2 linked regions of the Mytilus edulis genome follow. The protein of the gene in region 2 interacts with the protein of the main gene of each other region in a pairwise test. Links are inferred from orthologs where the notes say so. Each region holds a gene or a part of one and is shown on either strand. Other genes may lie near its edges. The genes, in order: E3 ubiquitin-protein ligase TRIM9-like and neogenin-like.

Region 1 (17,682 bases), on a different chromosome or scaffold from region 2:
CAGATAGATCTTGACCTGATAAACATTTTTATCCCATGTCAGATTTCCTCAAAATGCTTTGGTTTTTGAGTTATAAGCCAAAAACTGCATTTTACCCCTATGTTCTATTTTTAGCGGTGGCGGCCATCTTGGTTGGTTGACCAGGTCACGCCACACATTTTTTAAACTAGGTACCCCAAAGATGATTGTGGCCAAGTTTGGATTAATTTGGCCCAGTAGTTGCAGAGGAGAAGATTTTTGTAAAGGATTACTTTAATTTACGAAAAATGGTTAAAAATTGACTATAAAGGGCAATAACTCCTAAACGGGTCAACTGACCATTTTGGTCATGTTGACTTATTTGTAGATCTTACTTTGTTGAACATTATTGCTGTTTACAATTTATCTCTATCTATAATAATATTCAAGATAATAACCAAAAACAGCAAAATTTCCTCAAAATTACCAATTTAGGGGCAGCAACCCAACAACCGATTGACCGATTCATCTGAAAATTTCAGGGCAGATAGATCTTGACCTGATAAACATTTTTATCCCATGTCAGATTTCCTCAAAATGCTTTGGTTTTTGAGTTATAAGCCAAAAACTGCATTTTACCCCTATGTTCTATTTTTAGCGGTGGCGGCCATCTTGGTTGGTTGACCAGGTCACGCCACACATTTTTTAAACTAGAAACCCCAAAGATGATTGTGGCCAAGTTTGGATTAATTTGGCCCAGTAGTTTCAGAGGGGAAGATTTTTGTAAAAGATTACTTTAATTTACGAAAAATGGTTAAAAATTGACTATAAAGGGCAATAACTCCTAAACGGGTCAACTGACCATTTTGGTCATGTTGACTTATTTGTAGATCTTACTTTGTTGAACATTATTGCTGTTTACAGTTTATCTCTATCTATAATAATATTCAAGATAATAACCAAAAACAGCAAAATTTCCTCAAAATTACCAATTCAGGGGCAGCAACCCAACAACCGATTGACCGATTCATCTGAAAATTTCAGGGCAGATAGATCTTGACCTGATAAACATTTTTATCCCATGTCAGATTTCCTCAAAATGCTTTGGTTTTTGAGTTATAAGCCAAAAACTGCATTTTACCCCTTTGTTCTATTTTTAGCCGTGACGGCCATCTTGGTTGGTTGACCAGGTCACGCCACACATTTTTTAAACAAGATACCCCAAAGATGATTGTGGCCAAGTTTGGATTAATTTGGCCCAGTAGTTTCAGAGGAGAAGATTTTTGTAAAAGATTACTTTAATTAACGAAAAATGGTTAAAAATTGACTATAAAGGGCAATAACTCCTAAACGGGTCAACTGACCATTTTGGTCATGTTGACTTATTTGTAGATCTTACTTTGCTGAACATTATTGCTGTTTACAATTTATCTCTATCTATAATAATATTCAAGATAATAACCAAAAACAGCAAAATTTCCTCAAAATTACCAATTCAGGGGCAGCAACCCAACAACCGATTGACCGATTCATCTGAAAATTTCAGGGCAGATAGATCTTGACCTGATAAACATTTTTACCCCATGTCAGATTTGCTCTAAATGCTTTGGTTTTTGAGTTATAAGCCAAAAACTGCATTTTACCCCTATGTTCTATTTTTAGCCGTGGCGGCCATCTTGGTTGGTTGACCGGGTCACGCCACACATTTTTTAAACTAGATACCCCAATTATGATTGTGGCCAAGTTTGGTTTGATTTGGCCCAGTAGTTTCAGAGGAGAAGATTTTTGTAAAAGTTAACGACGACGGACGACGACGGACGACGACGGACGACGGACGACGACGACGACGACGGACGCCGGACGCCAAGTGATGAGAAAAGCTCACTTGGCCCTTCGGGCCAGGTGAGCTAATAAAAAGGGAAGAATAGATAAAAGTATGAGATTATTGATTCCATCATCACCATTGGAAAAGAGCATGTGTCTGCTGATCAAAACTGTCATAACAAAAATAACACGTTCCAACCTTAGATCTTAGCTGCAACTTCAAAAGCTTGTTTTATGAAACTTTGAATACCGATACTAATTATACAATTGGTTCATATTTTCACATAATATTTTAAGATTTTTAAATCATATGTTTACCTGATGACATCTTCTCTGGCAAGTTCTGGTACATATCTCTGTAACTGTTTCACTGTGGCACCAATATAAAACCCACGATACATTTCTTTTAGACCGAAAGCTAAATTTTTAAATGCAAGCTTTCTCAAACCTCTGAAATAAGATGGAATGAATACAATAAAATAAAATTAATAAATATTTTTGTATTATATTCATTAATACATGACAGGTCTACTACATACAATCAAGGAAAGAAGTAACTTACTTAATACAAATAATTATATTTCTTGGAACGAAGGAGTCTTTCTGTAATTCTTCAAATGAGGAAGATTGTGTCATTTTAACAAACCCATATTGTCACTTAAAATTTTCTGGAAAACATACAATCTTTAATATGGAAATAGTTAAGCTTTATATGTTTTGCCATCATGACTTTTGTTTTGTTTTTAATTATTTTTTTCCTCAATTCAAGAAATATTGTCTTGTCTGTCTCTTTTTAAATGTTTAAATGGTGTTTTCTTATTTCAATTTGATATTTTTTTAACATTTCTTGTCTTGTAAATACCTACCTAAAACTTAAAGCATCAAATGTATCTTTCAAATTAAAATCTGTTAAATTATATCCTTCTCGTTTAAATGACAACACAGCATTTGGACCTAACCACACATCTCCATTCATTCTAGGTGTATAATGGACTCCAAGGAAAGGAAATCTGGGGTCTGGTACCTAAAAATTAAGATTATTGATAAGTAATATAAAAAGAAATAACAAAAAACATCATCTACTAAATCTGTTCTAGAAATGAATGTACATGTATATGTTTTGTAGTATTTTAGGGTTTAAAAGTGTTGAATATAGAACATTTTTATACAAAGACTAACAGACATTCCATTTGCCTAATTTATTTCTTATAAATAAATTTGGTGTATTTACTGTCTTCTGATTGGTTAAAAGTATTACTTTTATTTTCAATGTTGTCAATTTTTATGGCGACCACTCACTCTGACGTTGTGTATTCATACGTCAACATGTGTGTACATTGTTATTGTTAATATAAATAATATAAAAAGTTCTTTGAGCCTTATTTTTGATAGAAATTTATTTATAATGAAAACCAATAACTAATAAATAAACTCACATTTTACATAATCTGCTTAGTGGATTATTCAATGTGAAGAGTCAAAAATTAATTTTATGGTTCAATAAATTTAAAATAAATAATAGCCATTCATTAATTAACAGCATTTCCTACTTATTTTCATAAAAAACAATATTTCTAATTAAAAGTAACATTGAAATAATATTAAGACATATAGATATTCATAATGTTAGAATTAATTTACATACAGGATATATATTGCCTCTAACAAGATCACATTTTTCGTGTTTCAGTAAAAGGTAATCTCCCCTGAATGGGACTATTCTCGGTTCTCTATTACACCCTGACAGCTCTGCCAGTCTGTCGGAATGTAGTCCTCCACATGTCACCACATATCTACACTGCACAGCCTAAAAATTATATACAAATTTGTAATTTAAATAAAATAAAACTGTAGATGCAGGGAAATTAATTATCACTTTTGATATTACAGTAAGATTTTTGTTTGACTATTTACATCATATGAAATCAGAGATCATTCAAAAATATATGTATGAACACCAAATTTTTAGACATGCTTCAATTATTCCAGGGATAAATTTTGAAAATCTTTTGATCGAGTGTTTTTAATAAAAATACTCAAAATGTGCATTAGGTCCCATGAATAAGAATATTTTAAAAGTTTCTTTTTTTAAGTGTTTTTCACAAGGTAGTAATTGTGCCTTTTTCTCAATGATATCTTGAAGACTGTTCATTTCTTAAAACTTATAAAGTCTTTCCTGAAATCTACAATTCTTATGTATTTACCTAAATTTAATATTTCATTTAGGCTTTTCGTTAATTATTGTGATCACATTTGTATACTGCAGTCCTAAAATGTTCTGTCCATGAAATAATTGCTGCAGTCTCTTTTCTTACTATTGTAGTGGTGATTCCTTATTTGTGAATATCAAAATGATAGTTATAAAATTAATACAAATCATTCTGCATACTAAACATAAGAAATCAGAAATAACATAAAAATTCTAAAAAAATATGAAGTCTATTTTATATACTTACTTGGTTGTCTCCCCTTACAGTAACAGGATGTTTTATGCCACTTGATGATTCTGGTGAACTTTCCTTTGTAACATCCAACGATTTCACTTCGAAGTTAGTATAGATTTTTCCACCAGCTTTCTCAAATGTTCGACCATAAGATCTTGTTACTTCTGCATAATCAATGATCCCTGTATGAGGAGAGTGTATGGCTTTCAATCCCTAAAAAATATATCTCATTTAATAGGTTTTAACAATACTTAATGCAATGTCCAATATTTCATAGAAAACATTTCTTTTTATACAGAATTAGAATTGCCAGGTGAGTGTGGCTATTACACAATACCATAGCTAAGAAATTTTGAGTAAAATGGTGTTTCCCCTTTGTTTATTTGTGTAGCCCTCCAATCTTAATAGAGAGGGATAGGACCTTTATCAGGACTCCCGAGATGTGGTGTTTTTAAGCTCAGGATTTCGGGATCCAGAATTATTTTTTTTGAATTTCAAGATGTTGGGATTTAAATTCGGGACCTCGGTATTTCATGTTTTAAAGCCTGGGATTTCAGGATCTGAAACCCTCCTACCACCACTTTAATATAAAGAGGATGCTGTTATTACTCTCAATGTAAATCAAATTATCGTCTCATTAATATTAAAATGCAAATTCAATTGAAAAGATGGGCTTTCTATGAAATGCCAAGTTTTTAACATTCTAGCACAAATTTCTCCTTTCTGCTGGTAGCAATCAGTCTTTATTTCTTTAATCTGCGTAATGATATATATTATGGGAATATATTTCGTTATCTTTCAGTTTTTGTGTTAGCTGATAAATGATTTGGAATTACATTAATCTATCAAATGTTGAAATTTTTATACATCATCAGGGATCTCCATGGCCTGTTTAACGATGGAGCCCCGCCATCGTTCAAATGTCTTGCGCCATCGTCAAATGACTCGCGCCATCGTTAAATTGTCTTGCGCCATCGTTAAATTGTCTTCCGCCATCGTTCAAAACTTCATCGTTTTTTGTAGCCCGACGCCATTTTTTTATCAATTATAATCAAATGCATGTAATTGCATAACCCTTAGGCTTTTTATGTTATAATCCAATACAGTTCTAACGCCTGAGGGATATCCGGATTAAGATCGCTAATTACTTGTACCTGAGCTTGTACAGGTAGATCAACAAACCAGACAGGAGAATACTATCTGAGGATAGACGATCCATTTGTCGAAGTAATCAACTAAGTTTCAGCAAATGATTATGATCATTTAGATTAAATAAATAAATTAATAAATTAATCCAGTTACAAAGAAAGCAGTTTAACAAGTCGAACACGTGCTTTATTTTGAATTACGCAATCAGCATCCCCCTTTTTTAACCCTTAGACTGCTACGCGCGACTATTGTCGTTCCGATAAGACAGTCCGCTACTGCTACTCGCGACTATAGTCGTTTTCCGTAACTCGTTTGTTTACACAGTTACCATGGAATGGGCGGAGTCAATATTCATGAGATTGCGGCAGTTTCGACTTGTATGGATTCTGATTGGTTAAAAATCTGCGTTCTTTCGAATGTCTCTTGACTTTTAATGAGGTATAAGCGATAAACCGAAAGTGAAAATTTTTGATGAAAAAAGTGACAAAATGGCGGACATTATTTGGAGAAATGGCCAACACGTTCAGAAGTATTTCAATGATAACGATTCAACAGCGGCAGCCGATTAAAATGATTTGAACGAGAACCGAAGATATAATAGACAGAAATAGAAACATTCTATCAAAACTGCAAACAGGAGACTTTTAAAGCGAGAATTACGGGGATTCCCAGACCTTGTTCAAAATGGATGACATGAAACGGGATTTGCGATGTTTATCATTTCGCCTTTCAAATGTGAATCAATATTGACTCACATCAATAGACCCGAACTTTAAGTTTGTCAAGATTATATATTGATGAAAGCTTTAACAATGAACTTGTCGTATAAATATATTTGTACATGGAAGTAAAAGTCGGCGCAGTGAAAGTTGGAGGGAAATACCGGAAAATATTTGCATAAAAAAGGCCGTTGGTCTGAGAAGAAACTTTTATTTTTTGATAATCACAATGGAACTTAGTTCTTAAAAGAGATTTTTAACTATATTGGTTCAGTTCTGAAGTCATGGATACTTTTACATTGATGGATTCCTTAATAAAACATGAAAACATAAGTTTACCTTTGTTTTCCTCTATTCACACCTGTACAGGTAAAAAATGACCAGAGACTCACACAAAAATAAAATAAATAAAAAATACAGAATCTAACAATACTTTATTATATAACTTTTATTGATGAATATTCAATATTTACAAAGATACAGCAATTGTAAGTGAACATGTTTATTTCATCAGTGATTAAAATTTTACTCAGCATTACACAAAAGTACAATAGAAATCAATGCAGCAGTCTAAGGGTTAAGAAGTACAAAATAAGACGCAAAACAGTAAATATTATTTCATCGCAAATAACTCGAGTACTGCTGTAACGATAATTTAGAATTACTTTAAAAGTTTAAATGTGAAAACTTTTATATTTCCTGTAAAGAAATATTGTATCTAAATTCCGAATTCATTTCGTATATTACAATCAAATTGATACATCCGCGTTTCCGGTTTCTATTCAGACTCGAAAGATGCATGTTGCACAGCATCAATTTTTCCAGATAAAGTCATTAAAAACCTTTTCATTTGTCAACGTTTGCTTTACAAATCTCTTTAACCTTTTACATAACCCGTACAAATTGTTTTGTTATTGCTGCAAATCAGCCATACCGGTAATGGGCTCTGAATTTGACAGTGTCCACGAAAAATAAGCTCCACATCAGATGATTTTTAACCCCCATAACAATTACCAAAAATAAAAGAAATCTGCATGGGGACCTTCATGACAGCTTTTGGTCATTCTCGACTAAGGGGGGACCATGAAGACTTGGCATTTGAATGGTTAAAAACGGCAATAAATGAAAATATTGATACTTCTAATTCTATAATGAAAATTCAAATAAATATAATTTAAATAAGCAATGAATTAGCATGTTCACCATTCCTTGTATGGAGGGATAAAATACTTCCGATCGCGCTACACTGTACAGCGTAGACAAGGTTTGTAATGGTGAAAGTTCCTCCATGGTTCAATTTTCATCCATGGAGATCCCTGCATCATCATGATTATTGCGATACATGTGGGGTTAAAGTTTCATGGTTTTGTTTCTAAATTGATGTTATGTGGATTACTTTTCAATTGTAGGTTTAAAATTTGCTTAGTGTTTAGTTTAGTTGATATTGTTACAGCTAGTATTAACTACATGTAGATCAATTTAATTAAATCATGGGCATAACAAAGATACAATGTAAATGCATGCACAGTTTCCTTGGTATTCAATGATCAAGCTCCTGCTGGAACCCTACATTAAATGCATCATCTTTTGCATTAACCTTTCAAAAAAAATTTGATCATTATACTCACTACACTGTTTGGTTCATATTCTTGTATTTCATGGGATTCAACCATCTTTAAATCCTTGACCCCATTTTCAATCCCTCTTTTCAATAAGCCCTCAAGTCTTGGGATTTCTTCTGGTGTGACTGCCACAATCAGCTAATAATATAAATTACAACAAAATTTATCATTTTAAGGTAGGAGTTAAAAATTCATACATCTATTCTTATCTTTAGCACTTAGTTTTGGATAATATATGTAGATAGATAGATATATACTTTATTCTCTTAAAAACTAGATACAAGTTTACAGAGAAACATACAATATAAATACAGACACAATAGTTAAGAATCTAAGAATGTAAGAATCTCAAATGCATTTAACTTTGATCAAGTTCAAAATTTAAAAATATTTTGGTAAAAGCAAGGATATGTATAGTAAAATATACAAATCCTTGGTAAAAGTTTGTCTATTTTTTTAGTTGTTAGGTTGTTCTTTCATTCATGTATCCTTTAACTCAGTCATTTATATATTTGAAGCTAACATATATCTGTAAATGCCTTCTCCTTTCACAGTAAATGATGAATGTGCAGTTTTGCAAATTAGAGTTTGAGTGATGGAGTCTGGGCATTCCCTGTCTTGTATTTCAAAAACATTAAATTTTGTATATTTCATTTACCTAATTATAAAAGTCACCCTTTAATTTTTTTTCTGCAACGCATATGCTCCAAAGCAGATCTTTGAGTAAAATACAATAGATATAACATATATTCTCACCCAGTATAAGCCATTATAAGCCAAAATTAAAACCTTGCAATTGCAATAATTTCTGAATGTTCAGCAGATATAAAAGAGTTACCCACCTTACCACACTTCTTGTATGGAACATTATTTTCATCACAGTATTTATATAGAAGTTCTACCCCCTCAACACATAGCTTGGCCTTCAGACTACCAGGTGTATAGTATATACCAGCATGTATCACTCCACTGTTATGTCCACTCTGGTGAGGGGCTACAATATATCAAAACAATATGAAATTGCTCGACTGTATGTAAATTCATAATTGAAGGAAGAACACTGATAGGTTAGAAGATCTTTAATAGTCAAATAAAAGAATGCGCTTTGGGGTCATGATCCACTAAAGCACTTCTAGAGGTTAGCAACTGTTGAAATATCTGATAAAGAAAATTTCCCTTCTGGAGCACCTGAGATTCCCACTGTTATTTTGTTGTTTTTTGCCATGGCATTGTTAGTTTGTTTTTGACTTATGAGCTTAGATATCCCTTTGGTATCTTTCACCTGTCTTTGACATTTTTGGATATATCTGATATAGAAGGTTTAAAGGATGGTACCAGTAAAAGTAGGTAGTAAATAACTTACATATTTTGGATTCCTTTTCCAGGACCGCAACTGACAAATTTGGATGACGTACCAGTATTTCTCTTGCTGTTGCCATACCAACAATACCACCTCCAACAATAACAATGTCATAACTGTCTTGTGTGGAACTGAATAAATAAAACAGTACAGTCATTTCAAAAATACTACAGATATTTTAATTCTCATTTTTATTTAAAAAAAAAAGTAGCCTTAAATAGCTACAAAATGTATAGTGTATCAAAGAGGTTATCTAACATGCATAAAGGTCTTCAAATATATAATAGACTTCCTGTCTGTTAACTTCTTTAGACCTATCATAGATTGAATCCTAATTTGGCATAATAGATTTTCAAAGAGTTCAAACAATTGTACTAAGATCGAAGATTGTTATTATTATTCAACAAGAATTAGTGAATATAGCTAATACCACCTATAGTATAGTATTAAAGGGCAACATACTTTAACATTCAATATAATGCTATAAAGGATTAGAACTGGTTGCCAAATTATAAAATAGAGTAACAAAAAATTCTTGAATCTCAAATCTTTTCAGACAAAGGAAAGCAATGATTTTACTAGCATTTTTTTTTATTGGATGCTTGAGTGTTCTAGTCAACTTCATCGTCATTTACAAATGTATAATTTACTAAGCATAAATACAGGTAGTAAAAAATCCACCAAAGTCATGATTTCTAATAACAATAATATTTATAAAATGGACCATAAATGGATCTCATTGAAAAAGGCAGAGAGGCTTTCATGGGCAATACAGATTAGGTACACATGTATTAACAATTGCTTTGTATTATTTTTGCAATGCTTAAGTTGATATTTAATCAAATAAATTCATATATCTAAAATATATACAAAAGGTTTATGAAAAATATAAATAATGTCAGAAATGCTTGCATGATTGATTTAGTTAGAGTTTCACTCCATTGTCTTAATTATAAGCAAAACCTAGTAAGCTAAGTCTGGACAGCAATGTCTATCTTTTAATCACATTGTAATCTAAAAAATCTAATCATTATTTATTCACACTCAAATGGTCGACATATTTATATTCAATGTATATGTGTATACCACAAATTATTCGGTCTATTAAACAGGATAAAATGCTAAAATATTTACATCATAATTTACAGTTGAAAGTCATCTACATGTATCATGTCTATATGGTATACACAAATGTTTCAGTTTAAATTCAAAAAAAAATTTGGAGGAAGGGGGTTGGGGGTGTTAAAACAGTGTAATTAAAAAAAAAGACACTAAAAAGTCATTACAGGACTGAAGTGCCATAAAAGTTTAAACTATAACCAATTGTGTTGAATTTTTATAAACCAACTAATGATCAACTGCAATTAAAAAACTTTTCTAAAAAATCTTGTATTAATTTATAGTATATATGTATCAAATTTCTTGTCGCTTAAAATTTACTTTTTTTTTCTTGTCACTTTCAAAAAGGAAGACTGGAGCTTGCAGGAGGGTAGTGATGCCCTTTAACGTCAGGTGTCAAACAGTCATTTTCGGCTACTGTTAGCATCAAATTGCCATTATTGGTTTAAATTTTATTGTGATTCGTCAAAATATCCTTATCGTGAATTATCTTTACCATCATTTTTGGAAAAAAATTAATGTGATTCATCAAAATCTATCATTGTTATTAATGTCTTAAACTGTATATTTTATCGTCATTCACCAAACATTAAAGTTTACGTCATTTGGCAAGAATTTTTACCGTTATTCGTCATGAAGGTACCCCCATTATGACCCTCTTGCAGGCATCATAGCCAAACAAAAAAAAAAGCCTTTCAAGACATAACTATTGTTGGACCAACACTGGAAATGCCTGTCCTTCATCAGCTCACTGATATAAAACATATTTTAATTGTTATGTTGTTTAGGGAGCAACAATCATGATTTTTGTTGTTGAACTGATTCTTTTGATTGCAAAACAATTACTGAAACAAAGATGAAAGGTCAATTCAGCAACATTTACATAAGGCCTTATTTATCAGTTGGGTTGTCTTTCTTTACACTCTTGTCCTACACGGTTCCTTGTACTTATGAACATTTTTTGTTGGTATTTAGTTCTGTCACACCAACATGTTATGTGCATCACATTTGCAACTGAAAATAAGAACAAACCTTGATGAAAAACGATGATTTGTAAAATCAGTAATCTGTGGGTTTAAATATTGTATTGAGACATGCTGTCTTTTCTTACAAACTGGTAAAAGATTGAAAAGTTTTCTGGTGATCCTGGAGGCTGCCATTGTTGTTGTTATTTTCTCTCGCAACATCTCGTGACCCACGAGACAACAGTTGATAACAACCGCTTCCTTTGAAACGGCTTTGCACTTCATACAGGTGCGATTATGGATGAGGAACTAAAATGTCCTGAGTGTAGAAAATTTTATTCAAAGCCCGTCTTTTTCCCATGTTCTCACTCTGTTTGTTTAGAGTGTGCTGGAAATATGCAGGAGTCTTCACAGGAATTTATGTCTCAATTTGAGGATAGTTCTTTGTTACAAATTTTAGGGGATACCGATCTTCTTAAAGATTATGATAAATTAAGTTTAGTTAGTGAAACTGACAGTGGAGTTGTATGTAATAGTAGACCTAGTAGCTACATTGGAAGTGGAAATATTTTACCCTCAGTGCAGGGAAGTTCTTATATTGTGAGGTGTCCTGTATGTAAAAAACCTGTATTTTTAGATGAAAGTGGATATAAATCTCTACCTAAAAATACTATTCTTGAGGCTATTGTGGAAAAATATTGCAATGAATGTAAACAATTACAAAATCATACAAGTAAATGTCAAATGTGTGAACAAACTGATAATTCTGAAGCTAAAGATGCATGTAGTATGTGTGAACAATGTGAAATATTTTATTGTGATACATGTAAAGATGTTTGCCACCCTTCGAGGGGACCTTTGGCAAAACATAATATGGTGGGACCAATTCAAGGGAGAGCTATATTACGGGCCAAAAATAAAGCAAGTGAGGCAAAATGTATAGAACATGAAGAAGAGCATTTAAGCATGTATTGTTTATTTTGTAAACTGCCTGTTTGTTATGTCTGTCGACAAGAGGGACGTCATGTTGATCATGATGTCCAGGCCCTTGGGGTTATGTCAAAAACTCACAAGGTAAGAGAAACATAAGTAAAAACATCCTTTAAGTCATGTAAACTACACATTAACAGAACATAAATGTCAAGATATAAGTATCCAGCATGTGTTTCTTGTTTGTAAACAACTTCATTTTTGAAGTGATACACAGATTTTCTTTTCTTTTTTGATAAACAATTTATAAATTTATTGTTTGCCATAAATCATTGTAGAATTTTAAGAAGTATTATTTACAAAGGTCCCACATGGTTATCATGACAAAAACACAATAAATTGAGAAAATAATTGGTACATGTATAATGTAAATATATTGTTGTAGATTTAAAATTAAACCAATTTAAAGCCAATATTTAACAAAAATAAAGGGTTATTATACATTGTTTATATAGACATGTATATATATATATATATATATACATTATATATATACATGACTGTGTTATTTTGTATTTAACAATAGATTACACAGTTACTTTAAAAAACACAAAGAAATTTCAAGTTTAAATTATATTTCTATTTGAACAATATATTAATAAAGCCACAAAAATTCTTTGTAGATACATTGTATACATTGTAAGCCTGAAAAATTATATAAATTTTTCAAATTTATTAAAAGACTCAAACAGAATACTCTGCAATGAATTCAGGAATTTATGTAATTCTAAATCAATAAATTCTTCATAATATTATTCATTGATGTCAAATCTATTTCATACATGCAAAATCGTTTATGAATTAAGTGTTAATTGTTATTTGCTATGAAACAGCATGAGTTGTGAATTCTGACACAAGTATCTGTTAATTTAAAATAAGCAAACTGTCAACATACACAGTAGGCATCATGTGATCCTAATTAAGCCTACTTTGTGATAATGCTGACGATAATTAAGATAAATATTTTCATCTCTATATATATATAATGTGCACAATAAATTCTATTAAAACAAAAGCTTTCCCTATAATTAACATTACATTACGAGGATTTTGTCTCTGTTATGTACAGTTTGCATTTTTGTAAGATTATTAGTAATTATATTAAAGCTGGTAGGTGTCACTGAAAATTATAGGGTTTTACTGCTTTTTAACAGCATTTCTGTCGATAAAATTTGAATTTTCAACATTTCATAACTTCCATTTAAGAATTGAAGATAAAAGTAAAACTGAACATTCAATTTAATTTGTTTTCTTGTGTGGGAAAATTTTATCCTATTTCTTCAGTTTAAAGAATACTTATTCATGAAGGGCAATTTGAAAAGAAATTCAATTCATAAAGAAAAGAATAAAATGAAGATTATCGTAAACCACATTAGAAAATTCCTTTATCACATTTTCTGTCATGGTCCATTGGATGGGTTTGAAAAATTCTGACCAGCAGTGACCATTATCTATTATCATCTGATAAATTACATCCATTATTCAACATGCGTATTGAGTCTATTGACATGTCACATTAAACCCATATCTTGCAAATATGCAAATTATTCAAATTTGACGAATTAATTTGTAATTTGATAGTATGATAACTAGTGAAGCGAAGATTAAATTCCCAGTAGATGATGACCATAACAACAAAGAAAGAAATTGAACTATCAAAATGAAAAATGATGGGCTTCAGCAAACTTTCTCACATATATTAATCTATGACAAAAGACAAACACTAGCTAATGTTACGATAACGTCAATTTTCTCACAAATATTAATCTGTGACAAAAGATGTACACCAGCCGATGTAACGATAACGTCATTTACAATCACTGGCGACTGAGGTCTCGTCAATTTTAAGATGTTTAATCAAAATCGATTCACATGGTTTTGGGTTTTGAATGTTCAAACAAGTTTAGTGTAATACTTAAGGATGTGTACACAATGAGTCATTGTTTATAGTAGCTTAAAATTGCATTTAAATTTGTAAATAGAAAATCAGGAATCAATGAGCAGTCATAATCACATGAATTTTTTATAAGTTATTAGCTGGTGACACATTGTTTCATTTGATATTTGATATTTTGAGGTTAAGTGGATCATCTCTGCATAGTGTTATCTGTTAATAGCGGTGGTAGCTCTTTAATGCAGTTAGCTTCTGCATCAACACCTTTTTCAGTGATGATTAACGAGATTACTGATATTTTATTAGATTTCTTGACTTTGAATCTTTGCAAAGCTTTTAAGTCTCTAATATCTTGGATTAAAGTTTAATTATTAATGCAACTGTTTAGTCATGTTAGTTATTGTTATTTGAACTTTGAAAGTTATATATTTTTTTAAAAGATTAGGGTAAGAGCTTCAAATTATACATTGTATAACAGTCATATAGGATTGACTTTTGTTTTGTTTAAATACTTTTTTTTACGTAGCAGTTTATGAAATGTATATAGTGTTCAGATTTTTGTCAAAATACAATAAAACTGCTTTAAAAGATATGAAAAAAGATGATTGACTAAATTTATGACATGGTTTTTACCGTTATTGTTAAATTCAAAAAGACAGGTACATTTTTTAAGAAAAAACACCTGTGCACTTAACCAGCTCACCTGTGAAAACCTCCAATGTCAAAGAACAGGAAATGCCCTCTTTGTAAAGATATTACTTTACCTAAAACAAATTTAATAAACCTTGGATAAAAGTGGAAATAGAATGTAAATCTTCTGACAACTAATTTTGGTTTGATATTATGATCTCAATACCTCAAGTACAGCTATCTTAAATCAAAATCTTATCAGAATTTAATTTCTTGAACAAATATTAATTTCCCAAACTTATATAATATAAATTTAGTTAAGATGATAACGTGGTGTTTATGATAATTTAAAAATGTGAAACACATTGTTATACTGTAGGCAATTACTTGCTATCTTTTAATTTGCTAAAATGAAAAGTGCTGCACTCACATTATCTTTTATAAAGTGTTACATTGTAGATAAGAATTGAATGTGCATGGCAGGCATTTTTCATACTACAACGTAAATTTGAGGTGTCCTTGGGAAGATTTAATCCATCTGGGGAATATACTTTGCCTTGTTGCAAAATTGCAGTTTAGGCCCCTGTCAGTTTTTGCTTTGTTTTGAAAGCCTCACTCTTACTTGGAGATGGAGAACAGCAATAAGAGGGTAAAAACCAAATTGTTTCTTCAAGGTGAAAAAACAGCAATATAAGACATTATAAGCTCTGTTCCTTGATGATGAGTCTTGGACACTTTTGATTAGGACTTATCAAAGTACATTTTTGTAACTTCAAATTTACGATTGGTAAAAGGCTGCGAATCATCTTTGGTCTCAAAAAAGGGTTCTTGACTTCATAGCAAATATCCCTTTGTGATATTTAAGTCAAGGTCACTTTGTCAGACTATTTTGTGTAGCAATTGCCTTATTGCACAACGCCGTACATGTTGATGGTCAGTTTTAAGAGGTCAGCATGGCACAGCCATACAATGTATTTATAGTGTTTAGTTGCTGTTTTAAACGGTCCTGTGTCTTTCAATTCCATTCACCCTTCTTCATCAGCATATAATCTCTGAAGTACAAAAAAATGTATGGATCTAGTATTGAAAAAGTGATATATATTTCTATTTTCTTGTCTATCAAATTGTCGTATTTGTAATCATATACATTGTACATTGATATGAAACAGAATTTTCACCTAACAAGCTTGACATTCTTCCTTACAACTAACATGACTAATTGGCGACTGCTATATATCTGATGTAAACGTAATACCTAAGCTTAACAAAGGACAATTCTAGTTACAAGCAGTGACTTTAAATTCTAGGTTACGCCTTCTGTAACTTAACTCTCTTTTACACCTTCAAATGTAAAAATGTACCATTGCCGACAATGTAAGAATTAAAAACTCATTCTAGTCATTAGAATAACTCATTTGTTACTGATTTTCTTTTGTATACAAACATTTTGTACGGTATTTTAGCTTCTGTAATATTCATTAACATTACGATTGCATTACATTTTCTTTCAGTTCTTTTATTTAGTTAACTTTACTTTGAATTTTAAAGAGAAAAAGGAAAGAGGTTTATTTGAACTCTTTTAAGCGGTTTTGGTGTACATGGTCTATGTGAAAGTTTTAATTTCGCTAAGAAAATTGTTAAATAAGCAGATATGTTAAGGGTACAAGTATAATATATCAGTTAGAAATGAAAGTTTTTTCATGTCATTCAGGTTTTCTATTCAATGTAAAGTTGTTTTTTCTTATCATTAACGGTATTAATTCAGTACTATAAAAGTTGTTGATCTAAGTGCTATTTACACTACATTTGTATGTTGTGTTTTGTCCACAATCTTGAAACAAAATCTTGATATTATACATTGGATTTTGATTAAATTTCTTCAAAAGATTTCTTGATGTTGTATAACATGAGTTTGCCACAATCTTTCCACATTGAATACATAAAAGTGTAGCATCCTTAAATCTCTGGCAGTGGCAGGTGGCAGATCCAGAACTTTTCATAAACAGTGGCGGATCCAGGAATTTTCATAAGTGGGGGCCCAATGACTTCCTAAGAGGGGGCCCACTCCTGCCACGCTTCAGTGATTCTCTATATAAGCAACCAAATTTTTCCCAAAAAGGGGGGCCTTGGCCCTCTGGCCCCCCCTAAATCCGCCTCTGATAAAAGGGGGGGAGCACTCCAGTCATGCTTCAGTGATTCCCTATTTAATTAACCAAATTTTTCACCTCCACCCTGGATCCACCTACATTTGTATGTCTAGTTGTACATTTTGTGTTTGCACACTTACAGTTGAAGTCTGAATTTGAAACAGGATTTCCTTTTGAAGATTTTTTTATATATGAAATTTTCTGATCCTTTGTCAATTTCTCTCACCAAAAGCAAAATACTTATTTTGAATCTTGCTGCTAAATGCAAAATTATGAAATTAAACATGTAAGTGATCTTTAATGTATCCTCAAATAGTTTCATAAAGTGTTAGAAATAAGCAGCTGTCTACATTGTAATCACATACCAATATACATGTAGAAGCAACCAGTGACCTTCACCTCCATTTATTTATTTTGTACATGTACACTTAATTTCATTTTTAAGACAAATAATACTCTTTGAACAGAAGTAAAGAAAATATAACATCACATTTGTTCTGTCATAGAAGTACTGGTGGTCCATAATCAGAACAGGAAGTTGATAAATGTCTCTTGGTTACAATACATTATTTTCTTTGTCTAGTTCTAGGCAGTAGTATATATTTTATTGTAAGACATAAAAGTTCGTTACATAATAACAATACTAGATGATGTGTTAGTCCAGACGAGTTATAATGAAATCTCAGCTGTCAGATCTTAATATAATTGTCAATGATGTATAATGTATATATTCTCAGTAATTATTTGCCATTTCTGGTATATTTGAAGCAGTCATACAATTCAGCTGATGATAAATTTCTAATGGTAATAATGTTTATAACATTATTGGTCTTGGAATTTCCAGATCAAATTGATGATTCT
Region 2 (17,779 bases):
ATGTCTAAGATTATAATTAACTGCATTTATTTTTATAAACTGAAAAGGTTTTAAAAAGTGTAATTTTAGGTAGAGGTGTGCCAATGAAAGGTTATAAATTTTAAGATAATTTAATTTCACTGCATAGCAAAAGTTAATTTTACTTAGAAACAAGAAAATTGTGGTCAAATCCAGTCTTTTAAACTTTTTCATCTCACTGTACATTATACAAAATTTCTTTTCCAATACAAAATTTTATAATAAGTTTAAAACCACAAATCCTATTTCACACGTAAGTATGCAATCTACAGATATTTACTTATCAATCCTTTATTTTGCAGTAAAAGGAATTATCAGCTATAGTGACTTCTACCAAAATTAGTCCAAAACCTTTAGGGTTAAAACTGCACACGTAATCCACAGCCACGGCTATTATAACTTGATTATATACTCTCCTGCAGACAAGTTATATTTTATTACAAAGAGTTCTGAAATAATCAATCCAAAACTGTCATTGCCATTCTACGTGTATTGTTTACACACAATTAATGTTACAATTTCTCCTTTATTGGATTTTGTTTAAGCTTGCATTTAATTTTCTATTTTACATGTTTACGTTTAATTCCCAATGATCAGGTCATTAAGGCCTCCAGTTATTTTTTTATCCATCTGATTCCCTTATGAACATGAACATGTATATGTATTTAATCTGTTGCAACTTGCAGGGTTATGTTAGATCAGTCTTTATTCATATAATGCTTCCATCATGTCCATTTTTCAAGTTCTCGCACAGTCACTCAGGTTCTCTGAATTGCAAATTAAGGGTTTAAGAAATCAGCTGGGCATTCAGGGGGGGGGGGGGGTATCAAGCCATTTTCAAAAAGGGGGGTTCCAAACTTAAGCATAAAGGGGGAGGTCCAACTATATGTCCTTATTCAAATGCATTGATCGTCCAAAAAAAAATGGGGGGTTCCAACCCTGAGAACCACCCCTTTGGATCAGCCCCTGGCTTTTCATTCTATTAAGACAAATTCTTAACTGGACTGGTCATTTACTCTTATGATTTGGACAAAGTTAAAAATTATACTGGTCTTTTGGTCAAGTACATGTAATTAATGCATTGTCACTTAATTGGACCAAACATATTTTTTCTGGACGTGGACCAATGTCTGGCAACATTGGGAATGACAGTCCTCATGTTAAAGCAAAAACCAAGTTTATATAAATATATAATTAAAATACTTTTATACTTTTATACATGAAGACACATAAAAATGTGTTCACCCTAATATAAACATCTAGTACCACTTATTATCGATCTGAATGTACCGTTATTAAAGAAAATAGAATTTGTAAAAAAAAATATTAAAACAAAAAAAATCACCTGCCAAATTGACCAAGTCTATTGATGCATGCCACACGGGTTTTACATGTAAATGTTTCTGGTCCCATAAGTGAAAAATCTTTTTATAGGGTTGCTTTAATTTTCATAATCCATATTACAACGACTGACTCACAAAAACACATTAGGTTAGTCATTCAATTATGAATTTTTTATAAGACCAACAAATTCGAAATTAAGCCAAAAATGCCTTCAGGCAATAAAATGTGTAATATACAAATTTAATAATCTGTTTACACTTTGTCACATTCTTTTCACTGACTAATTGAACAGATTTACATGTAAATGGTCCAATAAATAAGCTATTTCTTTAATATCGAACTTGTTAGGGTCAACATCTTACTTTAAATATGCAGAACAACATCTTTGTTCCACCTTAGACTTTGATGAGATATCTTTATAATAGAGGGCCCTCATGGGGTTTTTGATTATGTGATTACTTGGCCGTTTTTTTAATGATTATTTGATTATTAAGCCAAATATTTCATGATTATTTGATTACCTAGGACTGTATTTTTAGTTTATGATAATTTGATTACTAAAGATAAGCAAATATTTAATGATTATGTGATTATATTGGCAAAAAAATGGTGATTATGTGATTACTAGGACCCCCCCATGAGGGGCCTCATAATATATTCCAGTCAGACCTAAAATCATTAAGTCATCTAACATATCATTGCATGTAATTGATACATGTAAATTTGTTAAAGAAATTGACATTCTAATTTGAATGGCAATGCATGTCAGGATACATCTCTGGTATAATTTGCTTCAAGGATTCTTATTTTTGGAATTTTTAATTCAACATTTTCAAAACCCATTACATATGTTTGATTAAGAAAATAAATTCAAATTTCAAAGATAACAATGTACACAAGAGTGACAATGTGCATTTGAATCAACAGAAAAAAATACCCCATGCCTTTTTAATTTTCAAAATTTCAAACTGATATATATATATTATATATATTTACATGTGACCAGTGGCAGATGTAGAAATTTTCATAAGTGGGGGCAGGTCCACTGGCTGCCTCAGAAGGGGCCCGCTCCTGTAACACCTCAGTGATTCGCTAAAAAAAAAAATCTGAAAAGGGGGGGGGGGGACGACAAACAGAGATAAACATGAACTTTCAACGTATATATACACTTAGACCGAATAATGTGTCTCTTGTGTGGGTACATTTGTCATTTCATATTTTCTTTTCATCATTTCGCTATTTAATTTTTCAATTTAATTTTTTTTCACACCGTGTGACACAAAAAAATAATTTAAATAGCCAAATGATGAAAATAAAATATGAAATGACAAATGTTCCCACACAAGAGACAGATTATTTGGTCTAATATACACTGAGCTATGGTGGATTATACTAACAGGAATTTTAGGAGGCCCTGTAAATGTATAATGTAATTTTAGGAGGCCCTGTAAATGTACAATGTAATACACACAGAGATAATTTACTGTACTCTTTACACTGCCAAATGCAGCCTCTTGTAACCACAAGGCTGTTTGTATAGACAGCAATCTGAAACATTAACAGGTTCACTTCTGTTGTACTACCTGAACTAAGTTGTAAAACATCCCAATAAATATAATTACTCCATGTAAATTACTAAAACAGACAAGGGTAATTGTAATATGCCCAAAACTCCTAAAAATAGACACAAAATCTGCTTCACTGATCTCTATCAATAAACTGTTTGATTGCATTGTCTTGTATGCTGTTAATTAAAACATTTAAAACATCAAAAAGCTAAATGGTAAAAGATCAAAAGGCACTGTAAGAATTGCAACAAAAGTTGAAAAGAACAACAGAATATTGACCAGACAGAATATCATTTAAAGTCTGAATGGCAACAAGCTATCTAAAAGCTAGAGTTCTGCATCAATAGTAAAAATAAAAGAAATCTTTACAATGTTTCAAACGTTACAGTCCAGCTACAATGTAGCTAGCTATTGTTTCTTCAATTTTCACCTGAAACGGTCTTTGAAAACACCTTTAAACTAAATTAATCATAACTTAACAATTTAATACAAATTAATCAAATTAATATATGAATTGCAGATATAATCAAAGTTGCTTTTACCAGGCTTGTTAAAACATTCTAGACTGAAGAACAAAGAGTGCATGTAGACAACATGTGTATTTGTATTATGGCACCAAACAGTCTTAAATTTTTAGCACCTCATCTATTTGTATTATGGCACCGAACAGTCTTAAATTTCTAGCACCCCATCTATTTCTTCAATCTAATAATAATTAAAGGTCTCTCAAACTATATATTACATCACATTTAATGCCTGGATTGACACAGTCAGATCATTACCATAAACCAATTAGTGTAATTACAGTAATGACAAACACCCTACAGGAGAAACTTGCAGGGAATCACTATAAACCCAATCTAAAGATCAATGAGTTTTATATCCCTTATCATGTAAATATTGACACAAGACAATTGACTTGTATTTCTAAATATTGACATTTCTGCCTGCTTATTATACAATAATTCTGTAATTTATTGGTCTGTGGAAAGATAGACCTTGTTCAAGTGCAATTTATTTGAAAATTGATTGTGGTCCGGTTTTAAACATATTTTACTTCCTGTTGCCAATTTCAGGAATTTTTAAAGCTTCAGATTCACTTGTTCTTTTGCACATGAATTTTACATGTATATAAAGGAGCAACCATTCAACTTAAAGGGGGTTATGGTTTTTAATCCGAGTCAGAAAATCTTTTAGGGTCAATTTTTCAAAATTAAAGGAGACCTTAAAATTAGTCTACAGTCAGACTACATACATTGTACATGTACAGTCCAACCTTTATATGGTACTATCAATTAATTAATTATTGTGAGGTTTTTATTATTGTGAAAATGCGACAGAGTTGCAAACGCAATAATTTAATCTCGCATTTTGAAATATTCTATATGAATTAAACAGCATTTTTCTCAAAACAGTAAAAGTAAAAATTAAAATCGCATTTTAGGTTAAAATGGCAAAATCACATTAATAAATGCATGCAATAATTTCTGAATTTACAGTAAATATCATAAAACACCAGCATGACCAGTAATATAAACAGCAACATTATGTACATTAACAAATTTTAATTAGGAAAACACAAAGTATAAATCAAGGTAAGGTCAGTGGGGCCATAATAAATAATAGGTTTGTTTGCCCAAACGCTACCTTCCCAGAAAAAAGCTGCCTACTCAAATTCTTTTATTGTCCTGATTTGAAGAAGGTTTTTTTTAATCAAATAGGCATGAAGACTAGTTAATAAACATCTGATACTTCAATTTCTTTTTAAAAAAATTGCCTACCTACCTACCCACTGTCTCAACCTTTGGGTAGGGTTTAGGCAAACCAAAATATTTTTAAGTGTGGCCTGGCGGATCCAGGGGCCAGGAGGAGGGTTCTAGGGGTTGGAACCCCCCACTTCTTTTTTGGACGATCAATGCATTTGAATGGGGACATATAGTTGGAACCCCCCTTTTTAAAATGGCTGGATCGGCCCCTGACGGTAGTATCACTGCCAATGTCAGAGACGACTACTCGCCAGACAGATGATAGCCAAAATACAACATGTGGGTTCCCAAACAACTTTAACAATGGGCAAAGCTCATTCTGCATGTGGTGCATAAAATACAATTCTGATTCACTTAAAATTAAAGTCTTTTTTCCCCAATCACAAATGGATGGAATCACAGTAAATGGAAGTAATTCAAATGATTCCCTGTGTTTCTCTCCGACTTCCTAAAACATGTTACTGTTTAAAGGTTAAAAACTTGTCCACCCCACCACTGGTTACTAAACTTTCGCTGTTTCCTTTTCAATACAACCATCTTATACTTTTAACTACATTTATACCACTTTATTTACAATAATCTTTAAGTGAGAAATACAAGATGTACTTCTTATAAAACTGAATCAATTAAAATTTGATTAGTCTCTTAGGCACCAACTGCAAAATCGTCTTTTATGAAAGCTTGATTATCTATCAATTATTCATATTGCACAAACATGGAATTACGCTATAGAATCTCCTTACTATTAAGGCATGTTAAAATGACATTCTTTCCAATAAGACTTGCCTTGCATTGAAGTACAAAATAATCATGTCTCTTGGGAGAATGTTAAATACGGTTTTTCTTGTATACTAAATTACATTCAACAGATCTAATATAAGAGGTTCTCATTTGGGAGAATTTTTTGTTTATTTTAGAGGCTCAGATTTGAAGTTATTACATACATGTATACAAATACAATATATACATTGTACATGTAACAGGCTGTTATTTGAACTTGGAATTATTTTTAATTATGGAATTTGCATAATTTCTTGTGTTTAAAATTTTTCATAAATTCCATGTTATATTTGGCATTATGATCTTTCGACAGTAAATAACACTTTCCACACAATGTATTTTGGTTAGATAGTGTTGTGCGCAGCACAGTACATTCTATTGAAAAATACTATTTTCTTTGTAATAGAAAGTGTTATGCGCATGACAGAATATTTCAGTACAGAATAAACGTGGAATTTATTGAAAATTTCAATAACAAAGAAATCAAGCAAATTCCATAATTAAAAATAATTACAAGTCCAAATAATAGTCTGTTATGTATATAAACTAAAAATTTTAATTAGTTATAATTTCATCAAAAATTGAACTTGAGCTGTAACTTGTCATGATAAAAACAATATACCAAATTTCAAATCAATATCTTTAAGCATAAAGAAAGAAAGTCCAGAAAACTGATTTGAAAACAGACTGACATACAGACAGTGTAAACCTAAAGTCCCCTTCGACTTGTCAGTAGGGGGGTCGGGACTAATAACTATCATATCAATGCAATGCCTAATTCACATTTAAATATGCAGACACAACCAGAGCTTTAACATGTTTAAGCAGGAAGCAGCATGGTATGGTGCTATTTGAATAGATGTTATATACATATTTTAACATGTTCTTTAAAACTCATGCTACATTTGTACAGGTACATAACTTAAAATCAAGCATATAATGCTTCATATTTTTTTTACATGTACTCAGAATTCTTACTAAGACAAGTCCATGAATTCTGGACTCTGGAAGATCTATCTGGCCTTTTTTTTTTTAAATGTACATCAGAATTGAAAAGCACAATTTATAAACATTTTTTAAACAAAAGTTTACCAATAACTAAAACTTGATATCATCCTTGCTCTATATTATACATGTATAGCTATTTTATCATGGTGACTACTCCTAAAATAATAAATTATGTAACACTTAAATTTCATTGTCTCACTGATAAAATTGCCATGGCCAATAATGAAGAGTCACTGGACTTGCCTTCGAAATTTCTTGCATACTTCCATTCCCATGATGCTGCTTTAAAACAGTGGGAGAAAATGTTCCCTGGTACATTTTTGTCGTGCATTACATGGTACATGTACTTCAATCTATTTTATGTTAGCAATGATTACTAGATTGATTGGTTGATTGTTAGGTTACTTATAACATACAGTGGCAAATATTTTAGGAGGACAATAAAAGTTTTGGCATTAGTACATGTATAGCAAAAAGAAATAAACTAGCCAGAGGTGACGCCACTGTTGAATAGGACAGGAACATATATATGCATCTGTTTTCATTTTCATAGTGGTTTATATCTATTTGTCATGAGTGGGACAAGTTGGCTTACCTGATAATTATTTCTGCGGGATTTGAACCCTCTACAAAAGTGCGTTGACTTGGAAAACAAGAGTGGGGTGATTATATATAATTATTTTAAAAGTGGAGTGAGTTGGTGAAAAAGTGGGACCATTTGTCTGTGGGGTGATTTGCCATGGATTCATCATTTTTCACAAGTGGGGCGATTTGGTGTAGGGCAATTTGTCCTGCTTCCACTTGGGCCTACATGTACATAAGGGAGACAGGAAGATACCCAGGATGATATGGGGGTATCGGGATAATAACTTGGGCGACCCGATATTTTTTTATCTTTGAAGCCTTACATCCCGGGAAAGCATCAAAGCAAAGCAAAAATTAAAATAGCTCTCCAAGACGTTATAATTATTTGGACTAGGAAAAGGACATGTTACTGTATTTATAAATCTGTATTTCCCACGCTTACAAAATGTACATGGACCTCTTTTTTAGAGAGATTTTAGCTGTCACATTTTATCAACTATTAAACATGTACACCTGGATGTCTACTAAAATAAAATGATTTGTTTGCCTTTTAAAGTAGCAATTTACGGTGATTTATAGCACTACCTTGCCGTCATCAAGTTTGAAATTAGTTTTTCGAGACAGACTTTCAAACTTCTTTTCAAAATTATAATTAACAGACAACTCCTCATGCTAACGTACTATTTTCAATCTGGTTAGTTTAAAAAAATTATCATACTGTTAAATTTACAGATATGTATGTCTTCTTTAAGAAATCTTAATGTGAAACTTAAAACAAACCTTTCAAATCTCTTTCTGAAGTTCGACAACACAATAACAAAAAGTTTAACCTAATCACACAGCGTATCCAAACTTGTAGAGCAAATTCTTTGCTTCTTCTCTGATAAAGTTATGAAATATGATTCTTAAACACAATAAAGCTCCAATTTACGACTCTTAATGAACTAAAAACAGTTAAAATTCCAATGAGAAGCCTTTCTTTACCCGTACGCCATGTTGGTTTCTTTCACAATGAGAACGATTGGGTGAAAGGTGAAGTCCGCCATATAAGGAACTCATTTGCATATATACAGATGTCGCTTTTTCGCGCACTTGTTTAAAAACTCGCAAGAAAACATGAGGATTTGTATAGTAATACTATATATACAAATCCTTGATGTCATTTATGGCAAAACAGTAAATATGCAATCCTTTGATATTTATTTTTTTTATTATTTTAAATGCATAATAAGAGTTGATATGATCTATAATTCCTCTCTTTTTAGGCTCTGACGGAGATGTAATACAATATTATGATGTTACGAGGGTCTTGAATGATCACATCCTTGGATGGTCAAACAAGTTAATGAAAAGACAAAAAACTGAAAGCCCCCCTTTTAAAGACAAAAATATAGCAGAGAATTATAGGTGTAAAATTTGAGGAATAAATCTGGAAAATAAATACTTAAATTTATATATATAAGTTGCTATTGGCTTTCAACTTGTTCTCTCAGAGCTGTTCTTCGTTGTTTTTTTGTTGTTGTTGTCGTTGTTTGTTTTACTTGCTTTGTTACGATTCGATAGTCGATACCTTTCTAACTGATTTTTTTTATGATGTTTAGGCCCCAGGGGCGGATGCAGGAATTTTCGAAAGGGGGGTGCTAACCCAGGGCAAAAGGGGGGGGTGCAAAACATATGTCCCGATACAAATGCATTGATCGGCAAAAATAAAGGGGGGGTGCGCACCCCCGGAACCAATGGATCCGCCACTGGGCCCTGCAAATATATGCACGTTTAACCCCGCTACGTCAGGGCCTATTATGAATTTAGTGTTTATCCTTTTATCATGGCGTCTCCCCGAGCTAAGCAATCAATTTACCATATATACCAGTATGTCTATATATGTTCCTGCACATTCGAATTATACATTGTATTCTTGTATACTGTATATTGGTTGTTTTAACCTAATCAGTATTACTGTATTTGTCATTAACCACTGGGATAGCTTTGCGATATTGGATCACTCTTTTTAGTCTTGACCATGCAGTGGACTAATGAAGTATACCTTTTATAAAATGCCACAACTACCCATAGTACATTATTCAATAGCATTGTTATTGAAGTTTTCCACTTTTGAACCCATGATGCATTTTGTCTGTATCAGATAGGTATGTAGACAACTCTTACTCCAGTGTTGTCAAACATGGTTCGATTTCCATTATATAACCTTAGTAAAAGTGAACATATATATAAAGTAAATACCAATCATCCAAAAACATCTAAGCTTGGTTGACTGATGGACAAGCTTTCATCAGTATCAACAATGTCCACAAACAAGATAAGATATTATAGCGTTTTACGAAATATCTATACTACTAAAATAACGAGGTCCAATTTGTTAGCTATATAGCATGACGTAAAAAGACGAATTAAAGAATTCAACTGTATATATAACTACATGGTTTAAGACATGGGTCCTTAAATCTGTCTGAGACGATGTCGCGGGTACCACCAAAAACATTGAAGCCTTGTTGGCTGATGGACAAGCTTATACATAAGTATCAACAAAGTGCAAACTGATAGTTATATCCGTAATAAGGTTAGTAGATATAAGAAGGTGTGGTTTGAGTGCCAATGAGAATGAGGCAGATCTCCATCCAATTCACAATTTATAAAAGTGAACCATTATATGTCAAAGTATATATACGGTCTTCAAAACGGATCCTTAAGTCACACCGAACAGCCCCAACAATGACTTAGTGGTTACAAACTAAAACTGAGGGAGACACATCAAATATAGAACTACGGCACAACAGAAACACAACACCAAAATTTAACACACACAGAAACGAACTTTTATATAACAATGGCCATGCTTGTTCCTGACTTGGTACAGGACATTTTAAGAAAATGGTGGGTTGAACTTGGTTTTGTGGATAGCCACCCCCACCCCCCGTTTTAATGGCAATGTTAAATATAACATTAAAATTACAACATTATTACATGACAGGACTACAATAAAAATGAATCGGAGAACATATAGGACAGAGAAACACGAATAATATATGAGGAGACCATGCAAACGGGAAAACCAACGGCCTTATCTATATAAAAAAATAGAGAAACATGCATGTACGAACCACGTCAACAATGGTCGGCCGCCAACAATATGCAACTACTAAACATGGAGTGTATTAGAGAGCAGCGAGAGCAGTAGTCATTATAAAAGATAATTTTACAATTTTGCATTTAATGGAGAGAATCAGTAATTTCAACACTGCATGCTGGTAGGAACATACAACACGTGACATGGAATTTTGAACTACCAACCTGCTTATGCTTTGTTTGTGTTTTGTTGTTGTTGTCAATATCTTACCACGTCTAGTCTGTGTTTTTTTTAAATTTTTTTTTTTCTGCTTTATATCGATTTGATGAGATAAATCTTTTTAACTGGTTTGTATATAGTTTGTTCTTCGTGATTTTGTACTGTTACACCAATGCCCAAGGTTTAGAGAGGGTTGGCGTTTTCAAACAACAACTACCCATAAGATAAAGTAGATTATTGAATAACAGTGTTTTCCAATTTTTAACCTATAGTGCATTTTGTCTGTATCGGATCGAGATGTAGACATCTCGTACATCAGTGTTGTCAAATAAGGTTCGATTTCCTATAACCTTAGTAAAAGTAAACAAATAAAGTAAATACTAATCATCAAAAACATCAGAGCTTAGTTGTCTGATGGACAAGCTTACATAAGTATCAACCTCTGTACAAGGAAGATAAGATATAATAGCTATTTCTGAAATATCTATACTACTATAAAATAACGAGGTCCAATTTGTTAGCCGGCATGACCTAAAACGATGAATCAAAGATTTCAACTTTTATATAATAGTATAGGACATAGCAGGAACATATATATTGACATACAGTTTCCAGGACATAGATGTACACGAAATCAGTCACAGACCATCGATGTCGCGGGTATCACCAAAAAACATCGCGGCTGTATTAACTGATGGACAAGCTTACATATATAAGTACCAACCAAGTGCAAAAGGAAGATAAGATATTATAGTAACTTATTTCCGAAATAAGCTTATTGAAGAAAAAGATTTCCTAGAGTTTGATTGTATCAGTAAGATGTGATAAAGAGAGAGCAGTAATCACTGTAAAAGTTAATTGATACAATTTAGCATTTTGTTAAAAGAACAATTATTTTCAACACTGCATGCAAGTATAGGAACATGCGACACGTGACATGGAATTTATAACTAACATGCTGCTTATTCTTTGTTTGTATTTTTTGTCAATAATATACCCAAACCAGGTCTGTGTTTTTGTTAGATGTTTTTTTCCTGCTTTGTATCGATTTGATGAGTTAAGCACTTAATTTTATTGAATTGTATAGTTTGTTCTTATGTTGATCGCTAATGCTACACCACTGTGCCAGGTTTGGAGAGGATTGGCGCTTTTAAACATGTTTAACCTCGACGCATTCGATGTGCATGTCCAAAGTAAGGAGTCTGTAGTTCAGTAGTTGATGTTGGCTCTTGTCTGCCATATTTAGTTTTCGTAAAATGTTTTTTTTTATAAATAAGACCGTTACTTTTCTAGTTTAAATTGTTTTATATTTTTCATGTCAGGGCCTTTCAAAAACGACTATTTGGTATATGTATTTTACTCATTGTTGAAGGCCGTACGATTGCTTATAATTGCTTACATCCACTTTATTAAACTGTGTTGAATAGTTGTTTTCATTGGCAACACTATCAACCAAATGTCCTTTTTTTATATCAATGTGTAAACCCTCCAAAGAATACGTGTGTTTCTCACTTAGCAGTTACTGTTTCACTATATTGATTAAAATTGAGAATGGAAATGGGGAATGTGCCAAAGAGACAACAACCCGACCATAGAAAAAAAAAAACAACAGAAGGTCACCAACAGGTCTTCAATGTAGCGAGAAATTCCCGCACCCGGAGGAGTCCTTCAACTGGCCCCTCAACAAATATATACTAGTTCAGTGATAATGAACGCCATACTAATTTCCAAATTGTACACAAGAAACTAAAATTAAAATAATACAAGACTAACAAAGGCCAGAGGCTCCTGACTTGGGACAGGCGCAAAAATGCGGCGGGGTTAAACATGTTTGTGAGATCTCAACCCTCCCCCTATACCTCTAGCCAATGTAGAAAAGTAAACGCATAACAATACGTACATTAAAATTCCGTTCAAGAGAAGTCCGAGTCTGATGTCAGAAGATGTAACCAAAGAAAATAAACAAAATGACAATAATACATAAATAACAACAGACTACTAGCATATAGAATACTTGCAACTCCCCTCTGGAAAACACAATACAAAATGCATCACCCATGCAGATATCTAAGGATTCGAATATTCACAAATCCCTTCTGGAAAACACAATACACAATGCATCACCCCATGCACGTATCTTTAGATTATAATACTTGCACATCTTCCCTGGAAAACACAATACCCAATGCATCCTCCGTGCACGTATATGTGTTGCATTCAAATTAAAGCTTAAAGACATCAAGTCTACTAAACATATCGTAAAGATGGTGTGTCTGATTGGTTATATTTCATTAAACAGTTAACGAGATGAATTGTTGACATAGCTAACGTATAATCAAGTAATACTGCGTGTCAAATTAGCCGAATATATTGATAACCTTTTACTCGAACGTGCTAATGCGCGTGCCGTTCTCTCATCATTGCTTTATCTCCAGGCTGATCGACTCCAGTAAGCAGAATAAAAATTAGTTTTGATTTCAATTTCAATCTCAGGATAGTGATAATGATGTGAATCATCACTCTGTAAACCTGCTACGAAGATGCAGTTTTAGTTTATTTGATAATTACCGCTGTGAAATGATAATCAACATTGAGTGGCTTTAACAATATATGAAAATATGTACTTAATAAATGTGTACTGTGGGGTCGCAAGTTTAATATACCATTGGACACTCTATCAAGCTTTGAAAAGTGAACTGACGGAGGGGTAAAAGTTCGATATCTCTCTCCAATATTTTAACACTTATAATACTAAAGAACTGAACACTGTTATACCTATACTTAGGTGGGTTTACGGTGACATGTAGTTGTTAATTTCTGTGTCATTCTGGTCTCTTGTGGAGAGTTGTCTCATTGGCAATCATACCACATCTTCTTTTTTATATTTACGTATATATGTCCTAACATAAAACTTACGTATTTATTTTAATTACTTAAAGTTAAATTGTTTGCTGAATTGTTTTTTGAGGGGTTAAAATTTACCGTATATATAAAAAAAAAACGATAAAGTTTTTGTATTTATAGAGAGACAAAGGGAGGGGTATTTAAACACGTAAAACTGCGTTTACCCCCCTTTTTACCACCACCACCACCACCACATGGTGTGCCTTTAACTACATTTGCATCATGTTCTGATCGTAATGGTATGTATACGTTTGTATGCGAATATAAAAATAGGAAAATTTGGTATGTTTGTCAATGACACAATTTTCCACAAGGGAACAACTGAATGACACAGAAGTTAACAACTATATATATATATATATAGGTCACCGTACGGTCTTCATCCATACCAAATAAGTTTGTACGGACCGGGAATCTGATATCGATCTATCGTATCATGTATATCAGTAAAACGAAATCAGAGATCTATATTGTGATAACCAACCTGGTTCGGACGGGTGTTGGTTTTGCATTGTGTGGTCTTTTATATCATTATTTAAAACTTTTGGTTATTCCTGTTATCCTGATTACGTATAATAAGAATATTAAGAGAGGGCACTGCACTAGAGGAACCATTTAAGAGTTTCATATTACCAGACCCATGGACATAATCTAAGCAATTTCAAACTAAGCACCTTATGCATGGATGAGTGTGACATTAAGCTATGTTTGTTTCGGTTGCCCACATTTTTGACAATATAACGGAACTATATATAACAAAACCTTTAAACCGATTTATTAGAAAGGGATATAGTTACGATACGGTTGCCATGTCATTAAAGATTGCATATTTTGGCTGTAATATTGATTCACTTATAGGGTCTTTGCATCAGAATTAAACACATTAACTCTAAAACCAGTTGTTGGCATGATTCTGACATCGGATTCCTACTTCTTTAAAACGATTTTTACTGTGCGTATTGTTGTGCGTTTTTTTTCTTTCTTTTCTACATAGGCTAGAGGTTTAAAGGGGAGGTTTGAGATCTAAAAAATCATGTTAAATTCCGCCGCAATTTTGCGCCTGCCTCAAGTGAGAAAGATTATGTCTTCATCATATGAATATCAGACACAATCCCTCCTGTTAGGGGTTTAGTATTATACCATCATGAAATATATGATCACATGTAGGCGCTTGGGTACATGATGTAGATATAACTTTTTTTGTTGTTGAATAAAATATTCAATTTTCTATATTTATACTACATATCTATCACTTCTGTGCATGTCTCACCTAGTTTCGAGTGATTTAATCGACTCAGAGAAAAATCCCAATTTTACTATCCATACTAAGAAAGCCAATCTCTAATGACATGACAACAGTATCGTAACTATATCCCTATAAGTCTGTTTAAAGGTTTTGTTAGCTCATATGTAGATTTTATGGATTTATTAAAGTAAAACTAGTAAATAACAATTATTAGGACTCGGAACCGCGATGGTTCTCCGAACCGCGATGGTCATGCTGAAGTGCGATGGTGCACGCTGAGGTGCGATGGTGCACGCTGAGGTGCGATGGTTTTACACGCTGAAGTGCGATGGTGGTATTGTGACGTTAACTTTGTTGATAGCTACGCTGAAGTTCGATGGGGGTTACGCTGAAGTGCGATGGTCTGTCTGTTCCATGGAGTATAACAGCAAAATAGACATGGGCTGCTGAAATTAAATACAAAAAAAAAAATGTACCATTTAACTTCCAAAAAGGGGGGGGGGGGGGGTGAATTCTTATCTAAGTAAGAAATATTTTTCACTCAAAGCGGTAACATTTTTTTTTGTTTTTTCGACGCTTTAACAAAATAATCATATTAAAATTTAACACTATTAAGTATCAGGAAAAACAGAAGTAGGGGTTCAGAAAATATATGGTGTCGAAGGGCAAAATAAAAAAGATAATGAACGTGTAGGTCTATATAATAGTACTAAGCAGGGTCCATCTCATTATATCAAATGTTATGACAAAACTTAGAAATTGCTCACAACAATTATTCATCAATTTACATATACCTGATGTCGGAAAAGTGTCCACGAAGTTAAAAAAAACACCGCCAAATACATTAATGCTTGACTAAATAATAGCGAGACTTGTTAATTATTTCACAGTTTTCAAACTTAGTTGAGAACGCTAAATTGGGAAGTACACGTATATATAGGGACCATTCATGTTATTTTGGCATGTTACAATTGACACTGTAACCAAAATAAAATAAGACTGCAGCGAATGTGTTCTTACAAGTCAGGATTTATCTTTGAAATAAAACAACATAATATCAACTTCATATGACAAAAGCATTGCTAATACATGTTCTAGCAGTTTATTATTTTTTTTTCTTTATCAAATTGTCTACATAAAATCATGTGAAGCTTACTTAAAGATAAATCAAAATTAATTTTTAGATCAAAATACTTTATTTATCGTTCGAAAAGTTTGCGGCATAATTCTGAACAATGTTAAGCCCATTTGCTGATCAAGTTCATCTTTCAGCCGCTTTGCGCCCCATGATTTGCCTCCACATGAATTGCTCATAAACCTTCATCTACAAACCTATCATCCTGCATGCGGATTCATGTTGTATTTGAAAACATCGCAATATCCAAACGTCATGTAAACCATCGCACCTCAGCGAAAGGACCATCGCACTTCGGCGTGGACCATCGCACTTCAGCGTGACCATCGCACTTCAGCGTCCCCATCGCACCTCCGAGTTCTACATGTATAGAAACGTTAGGAGCAATATGTTCAAAGGACACAAAAAGACTATAGCTTACCTGAGGAAGTTCGAACCTTAGTTCCTTATAGTAATATATGATGGCCGATTTCACTACGAATATATATGCTAAGCTTTTATTCCAGTTCTGGTTTGTATATGCAAAGAATGACAACTCGTGTTTTCCTACAAAGTGTGCTGTATTTTAGAGGACCTGGGGCCTGGTTTTCGAAAGTATCTTATGACTAAGACATGTCTTATGATGGTCTTAGGACATGTCATAGTCGTAAGATATGTTTTCGAAAGTGTCCTAAGTTACGATTTGTCATAAATTTTGTCGTAAACTTAAGACCTCTCGCGACATGACTTATGATAGTCTTATGATTGTCAGCTAAAATTTTAATTACTTTTCATGACTTTTTTGGCATAATTTCATATTAATTGTAATAAAAATATGTGTTGCGTTTCTCGGTTAGCTAAATAGTAAAGAGTTTATTACTACGTGAATTAAAATTTGAATCTCCTGCGACATACAATTTGGAATTATTTTCTAACTTATGGTTTTGTACAATAGATAATCATATTATTTCGTTCCTTGTATATTTAATAGTACTATATTTACGTATGTGCGCGGGCATTTCGTTAAGCGGGTACTCGATGTACCGAATCTAAAAAGTATTCACAGTTAAATAACAATGCATGTATGATAATGATGATACACGAAAGCGAAGTTCAAGATTAAACATATATTACAAACTAAATTTAAACAAATTATGAACTCATATTTCAATTCCTTTTAGTATAAAATTTCAGGTTCATTATAATGAAAAAATAAAATATTCGTAAATATTAAGAATAGTAATAACTAATATGTTCATACATACATTTTCATTCTTATATTTTATACTTTTAAAACATTATTTAAAATAATAGAAAATAATGTTCACTTAAGACAGTCATAAGAGCATCATAGCTATGACTCTCTTAAGACAGCTTTGATTTACATCCTATGACATATCATATGATAGTCATAAGATGATCATAAAATATGTCCTAAGATATATCTTATGACATATCTTATGATACTTTCGAAAACCAGGCCCCTGATGTATATATATTTGGCTAAATCCTTTCATTTCTGATATGTGAGTAGCATTTTGGTTTGTAAAAAACTGAAAGGAAAATTATTTAACAGGGGATATCTACTACATACCATATACAATCGTATAACTGTACTGAAAAAAACCTAATGTTATATTAATGCAAATCAAAATCTCCATAGTTTGTTTTTGACAATGAGAGACTTTTACAAAAAAACAGCGGCTTAAGCATGCAAGGAGTAATTGATAGATTTTACCTAAATCAAATCGAAACGTGGATCATATCTTCTTAAGATTGGAAAAAGAAAGGAGTAGGTCCAGTAAGACCCCTTTTTGGCCCCAAAATATAGCAGTTTTACAAAATTGTTAAAATGTAAACTTTTAGTTATTTATTGGACAGTAGAATGCTTCTGCTACATAAATATGGGCTGTTTTTGACAATATAATGCACATATATCCGGTACTAGCACCATTAAGTCATGCTAAATTACTGATATCTTCACAATTCTAGCAATTTAGTTAAATTTTAGAAGGTTTCCGTGTAAAACGAAAGTGGCCGCATTCGTGTTCATCCTAAATATTGAAATGTAAGTTGTATTTGATGATAATACATAACATATATAAAGGTTGAGGATGAACACGGATGCGGCCACTTTCATTT

The links.
Region 1: the proteins of neogenin-like (region 2) and E3 ubiquitin-protein ligase TRIM9-like interact in a two-hybrid assay, tested with the Caenorhabditis elegans proteins (2 studies listed by BioGRID). The link is inferred for Mytilus edulis from reciprocal best matches to the Caenorhabditis elegans genes unc-40 and madd-2.

What each region holds. Positions count from the first base shown.
Region 1 is NC_092346.1:44,156,478-44,174,159, forward strand, and holds the start of E3 ubiquitin-protein ligase TRIM9-like, read left to right. Parts: upstream 1-11,382; 5' UTR 11,383-11,457; coding exon 11,458-12,234; intron 12,235-17,682. Other genes in the region: L-2-hydroxyglutarate dehydrogenase, mitochondrial-like, read right to left, coding at 2,101-2,232, 2,649-2,806, 3,428-3,589, 4,239-4,439, 7,723-7,854, 8,559-8,710, 9,080-9,207, 11,228-11,382.
Region 2 is NC_092354.1:43,716,832-43,734,610, forward strand, and holds the start of neogenin-like, read right to left. Parts: upstream 8,092-17,779; 5' UTR 7,850-8,091; intron 1-7,849.